Caenorhabditis elegans: one gene and its partners. The protein of the gene in region 2 purifies or fractionates together with the protein of the main gene of each other region. This does not show direct contact. Each region holds a gene or a part of one and is shown on either strand. Other genes may lie near its edges.

The links.
Region 1: the proteins of pap-3 (region 2) and suf-1 fractionate together in Caenorhabditis elegans (co-fractionation; one large-scale study listed by BioGRID). This does not show direct contact.
Region 3: the proteins of pap-3 (region 2) and tftc-3 fractionate together in Caenorhabditis elegans (co-fractionation; one large-scale study listed by BioGRID). This does not show direct contact.

The regions. Positions count from the first base shown.
Region 1 is NC_003280.10:8,601,993-8,607,254, forward strand, and holds suf-1 (Suppressor of forked domain-containing protein), read left to right. Parts: upstream 1-1,853; 5' UTR 1,854-1,868; coding exon 1,869-1,961; intron 1,962-2,012; coding exon 2,013-2,108; intron 2,109-2,156; coding exon 2,157-2,189; intron 2,190-2,235; coding exon 2,236-2,435; intron 2,436-2,480; coding exon 2,481-2,998; intron 2,999-3,046; coding exon 3,047-3,515; intron 3,516-3,565; coding exon 3,566-3,776; intron 3,777-3,870; coding exon 3,871-4,213; intron 4,214-4,262; coding exon 4,263-4,360; intron 4,361-4,406; coding exon 4,407-4,553; 3' UTR 4,554-4,752; downstream 4,753-5,262. Other genes in the region: cpf-1 (Cleavage stimulation factor 50 kDa subunit), read right to left, coding at 1-59, 139-304, 369-418; rpl-26 (Large ribosomal subunit protein uL24), read left to right, coding at 801-949, 1,123-1,279, 1,433-1,555; F28C6.8 (Phosphatidylglycerophosphatase and protein-tyrosine phosphatase 1), read left to right, coding at 4,857-5,231.
Region 2 is NC_003280.10:11,814,361-11,818,425, reverse strand, and holds pap-3 (Poly(A) polymerase), read left to right. Parts: upstream 1-1,850; coding exon 1,851-3,515; downstream 3,516-4,065. Other genes in the region: Y6D1A.2 (RING-type domain-containing protein), read left to right, coding at 1-98.
Region 3 is NC_003283.11:10,206,090-10,212,260, forward strand, and holds tftc-3 (TPR_REGION domain-containing protein), read right to left. Parts: upstream 4,256-6,171; 5' UTR 4,252-4,255; coding exon 3,691-4,251; intron 3,643-3,690; coding exon 2,767-3,642; intron 2,707-2,766; coding exon 2,443-2,706; intron 2,402-2,442; coding exon 1,978-2,401; intron 1,934-1,977; coding exon 1,797-1,933; intron 1,747-1,796; coding exon 1,631-1,746; intron 1,585-1,630; coding exon 1,485-1,584; intron 1,436-1,484; coding exon 906-1,435; intron 844-905; coding exon 738-843; 3' UTR 627-737; downstream 1-626. Other genes in the region: rpc-25 (DNA-directed RNA polymerase III subunit RPC8), read right to left, coding at 1-250, 300-512; zhit-3 (Box C/D snoRNA protein 1), read right to left, coding at 4,487-4,663, 4,709-5,344, 5,388-5,591, 5,639-5,874, 5,920-6,034.

The DNA of each region.
Region 1 (5,262 bases), 3.2 Mb from region 2:
GGCTGCACATCAGCGTCGTATTCGAGATCCAAGCCCGAAGAGACGGGTTCGAATTGCATCTTTAAAATACAAAATTATTAGATAGTTTCAGGCATTTTGTGACGTTTTTGTGACCAAATCGTAAAAAATGAAACTTACCGGCGAGGATTTTTCTTCGGCTTTGTAATCTGGATCCTCTACAAATTGCTTTGCAATTGTGACCAGTCTGAACAATTTATCTGAAGGCGGCGGAGCTGGAGCAGAACATCCCAAAGTATTTGCGAGGTTGACGGCAATTTGTTGATGACCATCGTAGAAAAGCTGCCTGAAATAAGTTTTTGAAAGTATGAACTTTTTTAGTTTTGCTTGTTTAGCGCGAGATAACTTACCCAATAATCAGCCGATACATGTATTCACGATCTTTGATATCTGGCTTCATTATTAAAGTATGTTTCCTTGAATAAATATTCGAAAATCCTCAAAGCGCAATAAATTCCTTGCAAAATTTAAACTTATATTAAAGGCGCATGCCGTTTCCCCTGCGGTGGGTCTCGCAGCGATCTCCCCTCAAATCGTAGTCGGCTGCCTCAAACTAAATTTTCCTCGACGTTTTTCTCACTGGCCTAAATTTTTTTAGGAATTTTGTCGGTATTTTTTATTTTCAAGCATGTAATTGTCTCTAACATTAATGAGTTTTCAACCTGCATGTGTGCTCTCCTTGTAATTCGAGAATATTTTTTATTCTCGAATTTGAATTATACTTTCTACCACCGTAATTTTATTATTGTTACATAATATAATATTTATTTTTTCAGGTAATAATGAAGGTCAATCCGTTCGTCTCCAGCGATTCCGGAAAGAGCCGCAAGGCCCACTTCAACGCTCCATCCCACGAGCGCAGACGCATCATGTCTGCCCCACTCACCAAGGAGCTCCGCACCAAGCACGGAATCCGTGCTATTCCAATCAGGTTGGTTTTTTTAAATAGAAAAACTTTACTGTTTCCATTAAGTAGTCCCGTACGTTGAAATTTTCACGTACGGTTTGGACAATATGGAGAAATGAATGTTACTCTTTTTGCAATGACGCTGAAACATATTTTCGCTTTGTTAGCCATAAGTTTAAAACAATTTTTGATTTCAGAACCGATGATGAGGTCGTCGTTATGCGCGGACGCCATAAGGGAAACACTGGACGTGTCCTCAGATGCTACCGTAAGAAGTTCGTTATCCACATCGACAAGATCACCCGCGAGAAGGCTAACGGATCCACTGTGCACATCGGAATCCACCCTTCGAAGGTGAGGTTTGTATAAACTAGTTCCGGTGCACATCGACTCATCACAACTGTCAGGTTTGTGAGTTCCATGATTCTTAATGTTGCATTCGGACTAGGAAAAGTTTATTATATTTTGAAGTGACCGAGTTCGTTCTTTAACCCAAATTATGTTCAGGTCGCTATCACCAAGCTGAAGCTCGATAAGGATCGTCGTGCCCTCGTTGAGCGCAAGGCTGCCGGACGTTCCCGCGTCACTGGAATCCTCAAGGGAAAGCACACTGACGAGACCGTCAACTAAATTGTTATTAATTACAAATAAATTGTTGATTCTTTTCCATTTGTTTTGGCTTCGATTCATTTTCAAAGAAAATATTTTAATGCTATCTGGAAATTCCAGTAATAAGTAAACAAGAGTAATAGTACAGAAAAAGCTATTTAAAGGGTCTTCTATCCATTTGAGAAAATGTATCTGATGTTTTGGCGAGTTTCCTCATTTTCCACTTTCGGTCTGCATTGCGCGTCAAATTTGATGCACTGTGTTTGCACAATTTCACATTCTATGAAATTATCCTTGATTTGAACAAGATAGTATTGCTATTTATTTTCAGAAGATGTCTGGGTTGAGCATGCGTAACCCAGAGCGTCGGATTGAAACAAATCCATTCGACGTAGACGCGTGGAATTTACTGCTCCGAGAACATCAGGTAGACATTTGACAACAAATTGAATCGACGTCTATTCCGTTCATTTTTCAGTCACGACCGATTGACCAAGAACGAGATTTTTACGAAAGTCTTGTAAAACAATTTCCTAACTCCGGACGGTACTGGAAAGCTTACATCGAGCACGAGGTATTACAAAATAGAAATTAGAAAAATAAAAATGATTAAAGTTTTCAGCTTCGTTCCAAAAATTTCGAAAATGTGGAGAAGGTAATTTATCCCGGTATTTGATAAATTTAATAGTTTTCTTTTTCAGTTATTCAGTAGATGTCTTGTGTCTGTTCTCAACATAGATCTGTGGAAATGCTATATTCATTACGTATTCGAAACGAAAGGACAGAGGGATCAATATCGTGAAGAAATGGCTAAAGCTTACGATTTCGCACTAGAAAAAGTTGGAATGGATGTCCAGGCTTACTCAATCTTCACAGAATACATAGCATTTTTGAAGAAAGTGTAAGTTTTATACAAACGTTATTTGATTATTTTATTAACTTGCAGGCCGGCAGTTGGACAGTATGCAGAAAATCAGCGAATCACAGCAGTTCGAAAAATTTATCAGAAAGCCTTGGCAACTCCCATGCACAATCTAGAATTGATTTGGAATGACTATTGCACTTACGAGAAGGCGATCAATATTACATTAGCAGAAAAACTGATCGCTGAACGAGGAAAAGAATATCAGAATGCTCGAAGAGTTGAAAAAGATTTACAACAAATGACACGAGGATTGAATCGGCAAGCGGTTTCAGTGCCACCTAAAGGAACCGCCACAGAATTCAAACAAGTTGAGTTATGGAAAAATTTGATTGCATGGGAGAAAACGAATCCTTTACAAACCGAAGAATACGGGCAACATGCGAGGAGAGTTGTGTATACTTACGAACAATCACTTCTCTGCTTGGGTTACTACCCAGATATTTGGTATGAGGCAGCAATGTTCTTACAAGAAGCTAGTCATACATTGGATGAGAAGGGAGATGTTAAGATGGCACAAGTGTTGAAATTGGAAACAATTAGTGAGTTGCCTAAAACATATTTATTACTTAATCTTGAAGTTTATTCAGGTCTCTATGAGCGAGCAATTACTGGATTGATGAAAGAATCGAAGCTTCTATATTTTGCATACGCCGATTTCCAAGAAGAGCACAAACAATTTGAAGCAGTCAAGAACATTTATGATAGATTGTTAGGAATTGAACATATCAATCCAACATTAACTTATGTGCAATTAATGAGATTTATCAGAAGGTCTGAGGGACCTAATAACGCTCGACTGGTTTTCAAAAGGGCACGAGAGGATAAACGAACAGGATATCAAGTATTTGTAGCTGCTGCATTGTTGGAATACAATTGTATGAAGGATAAAGAAGTTGCCATCCGAGTATTCAAATTAGGATTGAAGAAATATGAAAATGAGCCAGAATTCGGTCTGGCCTACGCCGATTTTTTGTCTAATCTGAATGAAGATAACAACACGAGAGTAGTTTTCGAAAGGATTTTGACATCGTCAAAGCTCCCCGCCGACAAGTCCATGTGAGTTTTTTCATCGAATTAATTGATAATTTAATAGTAATATTTTCCAGCCGGATTTGGGATCGATTTTTGGACTTTGAAAGCTGTGTTGGTGATCTTGCTTCTATTCTCAAGGTTGAAAAGAGGCGAAAAACGGCATACGAGGAAGCTCAAAAAGATCAGACAATGAACCATTCTATGCTTGTGATTGATAGATATAAGTTTATGGATCTAATGCCGTGCAGTGGAGAGCAACTGAAACTTATTGGATATAATGCACTGGTAAGTGAAATTTTACAATTATATATAGCTTTTTATTGATTATTCAAAGTATTACTAACTGAAAGTTTTCAAAAAGAAACAAATTCATTTTCAGAAGGGTACGGAAAGCATCGCCGGACCATCATTCGTTGGTTCAAAGAATGTTCCAACTCATGGACCACAAGCAGCCAGTGCAATTATGGGTGGAGCTGGTGGACACGCAGACGTGGCACGATACGGTTTCCCAAGACCCGACATATCACAAATGATTCCATTCAAACCACGAGTCAATTGTACGGCATCGTTTCATCCGGTACCTGGAGGCGTATTTCCACCACCACAATCAGTTGCACATCTCATGTCTCTTCTTCCTCCTCCAACTTGTTTTATTGGACCATTTATCAATGTGGAATTGTTGTGCAATATGATCAATAATATGCAGCTTCCAAACGTTTCATGTAATTTTTTTTTTAAGTTAGTTACTTGTATTAATTTTTAATATTTCAGATCCAAAGTCAGAGGACAATATGCTTGGCCCAATGTTGGAACAAGACGTCAAAAAAGATATGTATCAATTGTTAGCAACAACGTCAGATCCATCAGCAGTTAGTTTTCAAAAAAAAAAGCTAATTCCTCAAATATAATTTTCAGGTCGTTCGTTCATCAGCTCTGTCCGATTTGAAACGAAAGCGCGGAGATTCAGATGATGAGGAAGATTATAGTCATTTGGGAGCTGTAATAGGATCTCTTGGCAGCAGGGATGCCTACAAACGACGGATGAATAAGAAAAATGAGTAGATTGATAGTAGAAAATGCATCTCTGTCGATGAACTGTTATTATTTATTTATTCTTGTTGTTTTATCTTCTTTTTCCTCATTTGACCTTTTTCCTCAATTTCCGATCTTTTCCCAATTTTCTTTCCATTTCTATTTATTTTTAACAATTTAATTCGTTTGATTTTCTTTTTTTACACTGAATAAATCTAATCTGGTTCTCGATGGGAAGTAAGATTTTAAAAATGTTGGTAATTAAACCATTTAATCTTTCGGAACTTTCAGAAATATAATAAAACAACTCTAGAAAATTTAAAAATTTTCCAGATGCTTACAAGTTTGATCTTCTATCCATCATTGGGATATAACTTATTCAGAAATTATGTTCAACCGAATCGATGGGCCTGGTATAATCGTGTTGATGAGACTCTTATTCTTGGAGCAATGCCATTCCGATCAATGAAGGATGAGCTCATTCAGAAGGAAAATGTTGGTGGAGTCGTATGTTGTACTGAAGAATTCGAGTTAAAAGCTGCGATGAATGCAATGAGAGAAGTTGATTGGAAGAATGAAGGTGTCGAGTTTTTTGCTGTGCCGATGAAAGATTTTACGGGAACTGCGCCAAGAGCAGAGATCAACGAAGCGGTGGAATTTATTGAGAGTGTCGCCTCGAAAGGAAAAACTGTTTATGTGCACTGCAAAGTAAATTTCTGAAAATTTGTCATTAAAAGAA
Region 2 (4,065 bases):
CGGAACCATTCAAATGTCCTTTTGATAGAAAAATCATTGAGATGGACGGCCGGAATGTGGAGAGCTTTCCGAAAAATTATACTATTCTTCAAATGTGATATATTGTTATTCATAAAAATTTTAGTTGATAGGCCTTTTTGGTAATGCCTTTTAAAAATTGTTTTTAGAAAACTGTACAAAATGAAGTGAATTTTAATATTATTTATTAATTGGACAAATAAAAAAATAAAGAAATAGTTAAACCAGAAAGTATTACAATCGAATTGAGAAAATAATAAGACAAGTTTAAACTAACTTTTTTGCAAATTTTGTGTTCTTTCAGAATTTAAAAACGGTATTCCAAAAACTTCCATAACCGCCGAGTTCAAGCATAAAAAGTGAATTTTCAGTCATTTTTTTAGAGCGCATTTTAGGATTGAATGGAATAGGCCACTTACATGCAAATTAGTAGATTTTTTTTCATAATTGCAACATATGTTCAAATTGAAACAGCAACTATTTGTTCATGTTTATCTGTAAGTTTAGAATACAATTTCTTAAAATTAGCAGCAGAATCGATATCAACCTCGACGCTGCAAAGTTATCGTGATTATCCAATCGATTGAACGCTGCAACTATAATGAACGGAAGATGTCATTGACATATGTCATTATGCTCTCTGTCATTTCTATCTTCTGTCACCACACCGGACGGTCGTCTGGTTTTCTTGCTCTACTTTTTTTTGTTTTCTTCTGAACTAATTTTAATTAAAGTTAATACTCTATAATTTTTTTAATTTAATCACCCAAATTACTCATTTCAGGGTTACTCATTCTATAAATCTATACACACAAAGCTTTTTCAAATTAATTTATAGAACGAAATTAGAATGAGTTTACTCTTACACATTGTTTGTCTCATTCTAGAATCAAACGCTGTGTGCATATTCCAATTTTTTCCAAAACTTCCAAAAAAATTTAAACAATATTTTTCGATTTTAATCATTTTTCAACGATTTTTTTTTCAATAAGTTGATAACTTGAAAAAGGTGATTGCTACCTGTAGATTTTTTAAAAAATTATTCAAATTAGCATAATCGATATCTATCCCGACGCTGCGCATTAATCAATCGATTGAACGCTGCCACTAATAAGTGGAGATGGTCCGTTATATCATTGTGCTCTCTGTCATTTGTATCTTCTGTTTTCACGACGGATGGTCGTCTAGTTATTATGCTCTCCTTTTTTGTTTTCTCCTGTTTAATCTTCACTGTTCTTCCAAACTCATTTAAACTTAAATTATCAAAGTTGTTCGTTTCCTCTTAACCTTTGCACCATTCTTCTCGTAAATTCCAGACTAACCGAATGTTTTTGAAAAGCAATTTTTAATTTTTGTAAACATATTCTGCAATTTTTAAATTCTGTAATTTCCTTTCAAATTTTTAAAATTAATATTGTATTTACCTTTTAATTTTCATTCCAAATTGTGTACCCACATAACTTTTATTTCAAACTTCATTTTTATTGCAAGAATAATTTACTGTCAAAAATGTAGATTTTTCTTTAGAACAAAATTCAACTTGCATATTCCAAAAATGATTATTTTTAATTGAAACGAAATTTTTTTTAGCAATTCTTTCATTTAGTGGGGCAATTTACAAGAATTTTTTACCAGTTCATTTTAAATATTTCCTTTTTGTTTTTTTTGTGCAATTCCAAAATCCAAAATTTGTGTTTCCAATTGAAATTAAGATTTTCAAACGATTTCATTTACTCTTCGCCTTTATTGCCCTTCTTTACCCGTTCTCCTATCCTCTTACTAACATTAGCATTTTTTAGAAACTTTACGATCTCTCATTTACCCTTTGTAAAATGACATCTGTAAATACCCTCTCTGTGAACATCACTGTCCCAATCACTCGCACATTTGGAGTTTCTCAACCAATTTCCACTGCTCTCCCAAATGCGAAAGACTTGGAGCTGACGTCATCACTTCAAAAAACACTCAATCAATACAACAGTTATGAGCCACAGGAGGAGACATCACAACGAGTCAAAGTACTGCAGAAGCTCAATGGATGTGTCAAGCAATGGATTCAAAAGATCACAGAAGCAAGATACCCAAAGGATCAATTGTTCAATGCCGGTGGACAGTTAATGGCTTTTGGTTCGTATCGCCTCGGAGTTCATTCAAGTGGAGCTGACATCGACACACTCGTACTGGCGCCACGACATGCCACACGTGCTGACTTCTTCTCCAGTTTCAAGCAAATGCTCGCTAAGGATCCAGAAGTCACCAATCTGTGCGCTGTGGAAAACGCTTTCGTTCCAATCATGACAATGAAGTACTCTGGTATTGAAATCGACTTTCTTTTTGCTCGACTTGCCTTGAAGGAAGTACCTGAAGATTTGGATATCCTAGATGACGCTCTTCTGAAGAATCTGGATCAAGAGAGTGTGAGAAGCCTGAATGGATGCCGAGTTGCTGAGAATTTGTTGAAGCTAGTCCCAAACCAGGAAAACTTCTGCATCACTCTTCGTGCCATCAAATTGTGGGCTAAAAACCATGGAATCTACTCGAATTCAATGGGTTTCTTTGGAGGAATCACATGGGCAATTCTGGTTGCTCGTGCTTGTCAGCTTTATCCAAACGCGAGTCCATCCAAATTGATTCAGAAAGTGTTCTTCATTTTCTCCACATGGAAATGGCCGGCTCCAGTGCTTCTTGATTTCATCAGCAGTGATCGGATGGATTTGGCTCAGCTCAATCAATTAGTTTGGGATCCTAGAAGAAATCAATCTGATCGATACCATTTGATGCCAATTGTGACTCCTGCATTCCCACAGCAAAATTCAACTCACAATGTGTCACGGTCATCAATGAAAGTGATCCAGGAAGAAATGAAGGATGCATTGATCACATGCGACAATATTCAGAATGGAAGTTGCAATTGGATGGATCTTCTAGAAGAAATCAACTTCTTCAGTCGGTACAAGCACTTCATTTCCTTGTCAATGACAGCTGAAACTGAAAAGGATGAGTTGGCGTTTGGAGGATTCTTCGAGTCAAGGATCAGACAACTTGTGCTCATTTTGGAGAAGAATCAGGGAATCAAGCTTGCTCATATCAATCCAAAGAAGTTCAAAGCTGCTAAGGATCCAAAGAAATCAGTTTGGTTCATTGGTTTGCAATTTGATGAGAATGTGAAGAATCTGGATTTGACAAAGGACATTCAGCAGTTCAAGAGAAACATCGATTATCAAGCAAAGTCTGTGAAAGATATTGAAGCGAATTGTGCAGTGGAAACCGATTTTTCCTATGTGAAGAGATCAGATTTGGCTCAGACGATTTCTGTGAAAGATCTGAAACAAGGAAAAATGTACAAGAAGCCCGAGAGCAAGGATCCAGTCAGCAAGAAGCGGAAAGTATCAGAAAATGCTCCAAGTGTTCCAAAAAAGCAGAAATTGGATGTTTCCGAGAAGTCTTCAGTGGAATCGTTACTCAAAAACTTGAAGAAGAAGAGCTTAATTGTTTGAATTTCTCCTATTTTTTGTTTCTATTTATTTCTATTCATTTGTATTATTTTCTGGTGTTCTTAATTTCTGGTGTTAACAATTTCTATTATATTATGTTCCTAATTTCAATAATCTTTAATTTAATTTTTTAACTTGTGCTATTATCTTCTTGATTCGGTTGTAATACTTTCTGGTTTAACTATTTCTTTATTTCAATTTTTTAAAATTAATAAATATTATTAAAACTCAATTCAATGTGTTGGAAACTTAACAAATAATTGAATTAAGACGGAAACCAATTTTTTTGGTCAATTTTTCGAAAGAATTTGATTATTGAAACTTTAGTTTTAATGGAAATAATTGTTATTCACCATGTGCTCAAAAATATATCCAAAAATGAACTTAATCCCCGTGAATTTTCAACAAAAACATTTAGTTTTCAATGGATTTTGTTCAAAAATTTCATTCATGAAATTTTTCTAGCCCTTGTGATTTGGTTTTCATGAATGTTACATGAAAGCGTTTTCTATTTCAAAGCTACGGGGCATTTTTCAATTTAAATTTTATCCGA
Region 3 (6,171 bases), on a different chromosome or scaffold from region 2:
TCACTCGGAATCTCACAATCTTCCCTGGATCCATATACAGTTTTGCTGGTGGTTCTCCATCTTCCTGTGCATATTCCCAATACCAAACTTGCCCTTCTTCTTCGAAAACATGAGGTTCTGGAAGCTTTTCCGCCGGTACAAAAATGTCTTCGAAGAATTGAATTGTTAGACAAAGACCTTGTCGTGATGAACCAATCACTTTGGCCTCAATAACTTCATCGACAAATGGCCGAAAAACGATCATACGGAACTGAAGATTTATTTCATTTCTCAAATACGACTGTACATTGATTTATTACCTTAACTCTCGCTCTACAATCTCCTTCGCCGGGTAAAATGTACGAATCACCAATTTCATTTATATCATAGACACAAATACAGAGACCAAGATCCGGAATAATTTTGTTGGCGAGACGTTCATTGAGCCGTTTTTTGATAACAATTTGCTGATCAGAGCTCAATTGATGAGGCTGAATAGCCACCGTATCGTGCAGTAGAGAAAGAATGAACATACTGTAAATATTAAACATTTTCCTTTTATACGGCATCAGTATCAGCAGATATTGAATGGAAGCTTGAACTATATTCTCAGAACCAAATATAATGAAATAAAAATAATAAAAAAGAAAATTTATAAGTAATTGTTTAAAAAAGTACGATGGGATTGCTACTTATAAATTAGACCACACAATGTCAGACATTGGATAGATTAACAAAAATTATTCTTCAACAAAAAATCAAACAACAAGATATTTTTCATAAATTTTCCTAGCGGCGAAATTGTTTCCTGATGTTCGGTAGATTAAAGCCAGGTTGTGAGCAGCCATCTTTCTCAGGTCATATCTGAAATTTTAATAGTATTTCTACAGACAGAAATTTCTAATTTATTTTTAAAATTGTCTTACTTCATTGCTGGAATAATAACCTCATTGCCATCTTCATCAAAATCAAACACACACGGCGGATCAACCTCCAATACTTTATCATAAAAATGTTTGGCGAGAGGGAGAATCGACATTTGATGGAACATTCTGGCAATGTTATAAAAGACTTCTTGTTGGCAAGCCCGTGCTTTTGAATACTTCTTCATAAAAGCAATTCCTCGGATTCCGATGAGGTGTCTACTTGAGAGATCCTTCTTACAAGACATATGAGTGAAAGTGAGAGCAAGCAGCATACAGATGAGTGGATTTCGTTTATTGGCTACCCATACTCGAAGATACTCTCCCATTGCATGTCGGTATGTTCCCGTGATAAGTGAATTATTGCCTGAAATCGCTTGAAGAGCATGATTATCTTTAGCTTTGACGAGTGCTCTCATGATAAATCGATGGTAGCAGACATTCTGAGAGTTGACGAATACGTAGTTCATTGCATTGAAAAGGCGTTTTTGGAGAACGTCAGAGAATGAGCCATTTTGAGGATCGCTGACTGCCTGGAAATTTAAATTACTTAAATGCGTCCAATAAGATACAAATTGTTACCAAAGAAAAAGTGTGAAAGAATCTAACATATTCAAATGCCAAATTCCAACATCTTGCTTTGATTGCACAAAAATATACTAAATTCTGGAAAGTGGAGATTCTGAAAATTTTGTAATGTGTGGAAAATTTTGAACAAATTAGCTCACTTGTCGGCTTTGAAAAGAGTTGGATGTAAAAATGCATAACAACAGACAATGAGTGCGTCTTGATGTTTCTCCATTTTATTTAAACATTCGATTAACTTCAAACAGTAGTCATGTATCTGAAAATTAAAAATTTACACAATCAAATGTATGCTCGAATAATGATTACATCTGTTCCCGAAAGCGATGTTTGAAAAGTCCCATTGGCTTCTACAGTTGCTCCCAGCCTTTTGACAAGGCGTTCCCAATTTGTATGTTTAACAACTCCAAAAGCACAAGTTTTCAAAGTATTACTGAGAGCAGGTGCTGGAAATTCGTATTGAAGACAATTAAAATGTTATTTCACTTACTAGTCGTTTTTCCTTTGGTAACCCGTCGTTTCTTCAAAATATCTGGAGAAATATAGACTTTGTAGAAGTGGGGAGCCAGCATCATTCTCGTGATCCTTACAAACTGCTCAGAATCTCCTGCTTCGAATAAAACGTCTGCTCGACGAGCAAGAAGACGTTCATCTGGCATCGATGAGCAGTTTTCCAGGTCATAATTTTCCAAGGTTTCGAGGGCTTTTTCGAAAAACCCAGATTTTTGCTGGAGAGTTGACAAATGGATACGATTATCAATATGATCCGGTTGTAGTATCAGAACTTTATTGAATGCTTCCATTGCTAGATCATCATGCTTCTGCATCATTTCAAGACTTCCTTTCAGATACCAGTAAGCACCAGATGCTTCGTTGTTGTAACAAGGATTTTTGGTCAATTGATCCAGGAAGTTCTAAAAAAAACTGTATTTTGTTATTACATAATATTTCTCACCATTGCAAGTTTCGGATGTCCTCTGTTCTTGTAAAGCCTTGGCACATCTAGAATAAATCCTTCATCTTCTTCTACATTGAAATTTCTTTTCAATAATTTATGTTCCAACACGGAAGACTGTTCGACTTCATCCAAACTGAAGAGACAAATGACGAGATGGCAGTGCATACTGACTGGAAACAGATTGACATCAATATCATAATCGATATCGCTTCCGACAGGTGGAAAAGGCAAACATTCATATGTTCCATTTGTGTAAGTTATCTGAAATAATTTTATAAATTATTATAAACAACACAGTGATAGACTTTATGAACAACTTACAAGGCATGCGGGATCCTTTGTTGTAGAACGAATTGCTTTGACACCATTGCACATTGCCAGAATTGACATTCCAGCTTGTCGGAATTTGCTCTTTGCTAAATACATTCCAATGAGAGTTTCATGTTGTGGTTCTGCATCTCGTTCGAATTCTTTACTCCGGAGAACAAATGCTTCGAGAGATTGAATTGCTTTCTCTTCATCATTCATTGTAATGTAGTACTGAGCGACTTTGCGAATCAAATCATGAAACCACTCAAAATCCACTTGTAAAATTTCATTGTTGATCAATTGAGCAGCTTGTAGACGAGTACGCATTGCGAGAGGTCGTAGGTTCAGCCGATCAAGCATTTCAATTCTTTTTTCGTAAAACTTCCAATTCTCATTATTGAGATGAATAGCTCTATCGTAACAAACGGCAGCTTCTTCAATCATTCCGAATTTTTCAGCTTCATCTCCCCAATGTACCCAGTCATCTGGTGGAGTCTTCGGATCTAGATGCGATGCCAGTAAACCAAATTGAAGAGCTTTTTGATGATCTCCTAACTGTTCATATACAGTGGCTATCTGTTGATAAGCAATCGCATGTTTATGATCCTGTTTAATTACTTCTCGAAGAATTTCCATGGCATCGGTGATATTTCCACGAGCAGCTAACACGTTTGCCTGACCCAACATAGCATCCAATCTTTTCAATTTTCCTCGATCTCGAGGTTCTGCATTTGTGGCTGGAGTTTCTGTACTTGTAGAATCTGCTTTCTGGCCTTCTATTTTTACTTGTTTCAGAGGAGGAGGTTCTCTTTCTTCAGTTTCTACTTCATATTCAACTTCCATTTCATCGGAATGGTTTACCTGTCCTTCATCTTTACCAGACATCATCTGTAACCTTTCTCATTCTAGTAATATCGATAGTCTAACAATGCAAACCTGTGTCATAATATATCGAGCTTCTTCGGGAAGAGCGTCGTAGCGATCAGAAGGTCCTGCAGACTGAAAAGAGTATGAACTTCCAGCATGTTGAGAAGTTGACACTTCTTCAACGTCTTCCATTAACTCTACATCTTCATCGTCCTCTTCTTCATCATCATCTGCAGTATCAATTTCTTCGACTTCGTCGACCACATTGTTTCTTGCCGATCTTTTTTGCTTTGCTCCTAACTCTTCCTTGAGAGTTTGTCCTCCAGTAACCCGCATAAATTGATCATAGTCATATTCATTTCTCATGAATCTATTGATAGCGTTCACTAATTCTTCATCATCAATGGCTTCAGCTGGCTCTTCTACTCTTTTTCTATTCCCGGACCCATTGTGTAATCCAGTAAGATGAGGTTTTGTATCAATTCCAGCAATAATTCCATTTGTATCATCATCATCATCAAAATCGTATTCTTCTACTTCAGGAACATCAGAACCTTGTTCTAAAATATTACCGTACTCTTCTTCTTCCTCTATTAAGAAATCGGAAGTTGATGGTTGATTTGGATCCATGTTTCTTCAAGCAATAATACTATGAAAAAGAAGTTTGTGATCTGTTTTAAAATAAAAAGAAGCGATCGGTACGCGATGAAAATTTGAATTTCGACCATTAACTCTAACATTCATGTTTTATAAAAAAAAAATTGAAAAATGTAGAAATAACAAGTGTAACAACGTTGTACAAAAAATGGATAAAAACGAATAAAATTCAACAAAATGTACCAAATATTTCAACAAAAAAAACAAATCAATTGTACTCCATAGGAAGTCGATTTGGTCCGGAGAAGGGCTCGAATGGGTCGAAGGTATCGATATTCTGATGGGTGCGGTTCTGATATCCACCTCTTCGGCTTCCTCCGTGGAAATTTCCGCCGCGTCCACGCTTGAAACCACCGTCTTGACCTCCATCTTGTCCTGGTCTTTTCTGAAATCATTTATTTTGAATCTGAATAAATATTGAACCACTAACTCTGAAGATATTATGATTCGAGCCTCCTCCACCTCGATTGGCGCCTCCGCGATGAAAGCCTCTACCACCACGTCCTCTACCGCCGCCTCCGAATCTTTGATTTCCTACACCTCCGTATTTGGTTTGAATCTCAGCAAGTTCTTCCATAGACAATAACTGCATACTTTCAATAAATTCGTCCTTCATAGTAATTACTAATTTTGGAAAATCTGCAACGACTCGAGTTCTTGTCATTTCAAGAATGGTGCTATCAGTAATAATTCCGTAGTATCGTTCTGGATTTGCGTGAACTTCCATATAAACGTTGACATCGTCAATTCCGCGATCAATAAACGGCTTGAGCTTCTCAACGTCGAGGTCGCTTTCAGAGACAATGCATCCATATTGGCGGGGTTTGAAGAATTGCTTCAAAACTGTTGCTACTCGAATTGTTTCAGGAATATTGTTAACTATCTTTTCGAATACTTCTATACCTCCGTCCGCGGTTTGTTTTTTGAATGATAGTTTCAAAGTCCAAAAAATAGTATCAGAATGTTGCTCGTGTCTGCTCTCATTTTCTTGTTCGCCAACAAATCCTAACCAAATATGACGGAATCGAGCCGCGTTGAGAAGATATCTCTCGGTGGGAGAGTTGGTCTAAATTTCGATATTTATGAAGCTGACAGATACTACTACTTACTGTATATCGAAGTGCATTCGGATCAACTGGTTTCTCTTCTCCATCCGAACTATTCACATCATTACCGACACCACCAACTGGTTCAGCTCCTAACCCAACTTTCTCTTTCATCAGGTGCATGAATTTCTGATCATCAATTGACTTTTGTGGATCATATTGAGACAATTTATCTACCTTGGTAAACGCTTGCCGTACTCCATCACACTGAATAGTCAAATAAAATTGCTTTTTTCAAACGTGAACAACTTTACATTATTATCCGCTTTGTGCTTCTTTGAACAATCCAGTGAACATGTCCGCATTTCACATCTTGGGCATTTGTACTTGTGCTCGTTTTTCAAACAAACTTTACATAATTTTGGATCAATAGCGGGGATTACAGATTCCTCGTTTTCCACATTCTTTTGATTTTCAATTTTCCTCTTGTAGGCTTTGATAACGTCTTCAGGAGATTTTTCGTCTTCCGATGAGGGATAATTCACCAAAACTGAAAATTGTTTTTGTTTAAATTGATATCAAACTTGAAACTAACATTCAGAAGTTATATTTGGAATTTCCGTTGGTACATCATCATCATCGTCCAGTATTTCTCCGTCTTCCTGATAGTCTTCTACTTCTTTTGGTTCAGGAGTATGGCTCGTAGTCATATTACTGAAAATTCAATTACTCTTGCGACATTCGAAGTTTATTTAAATCGCAAGTAATAAAAGCCTATTTTTAGTTTAACATATTGAAATTTATATATTCTTTTAAAGAAATGCACTACAAAATGCTTGAGACGCCG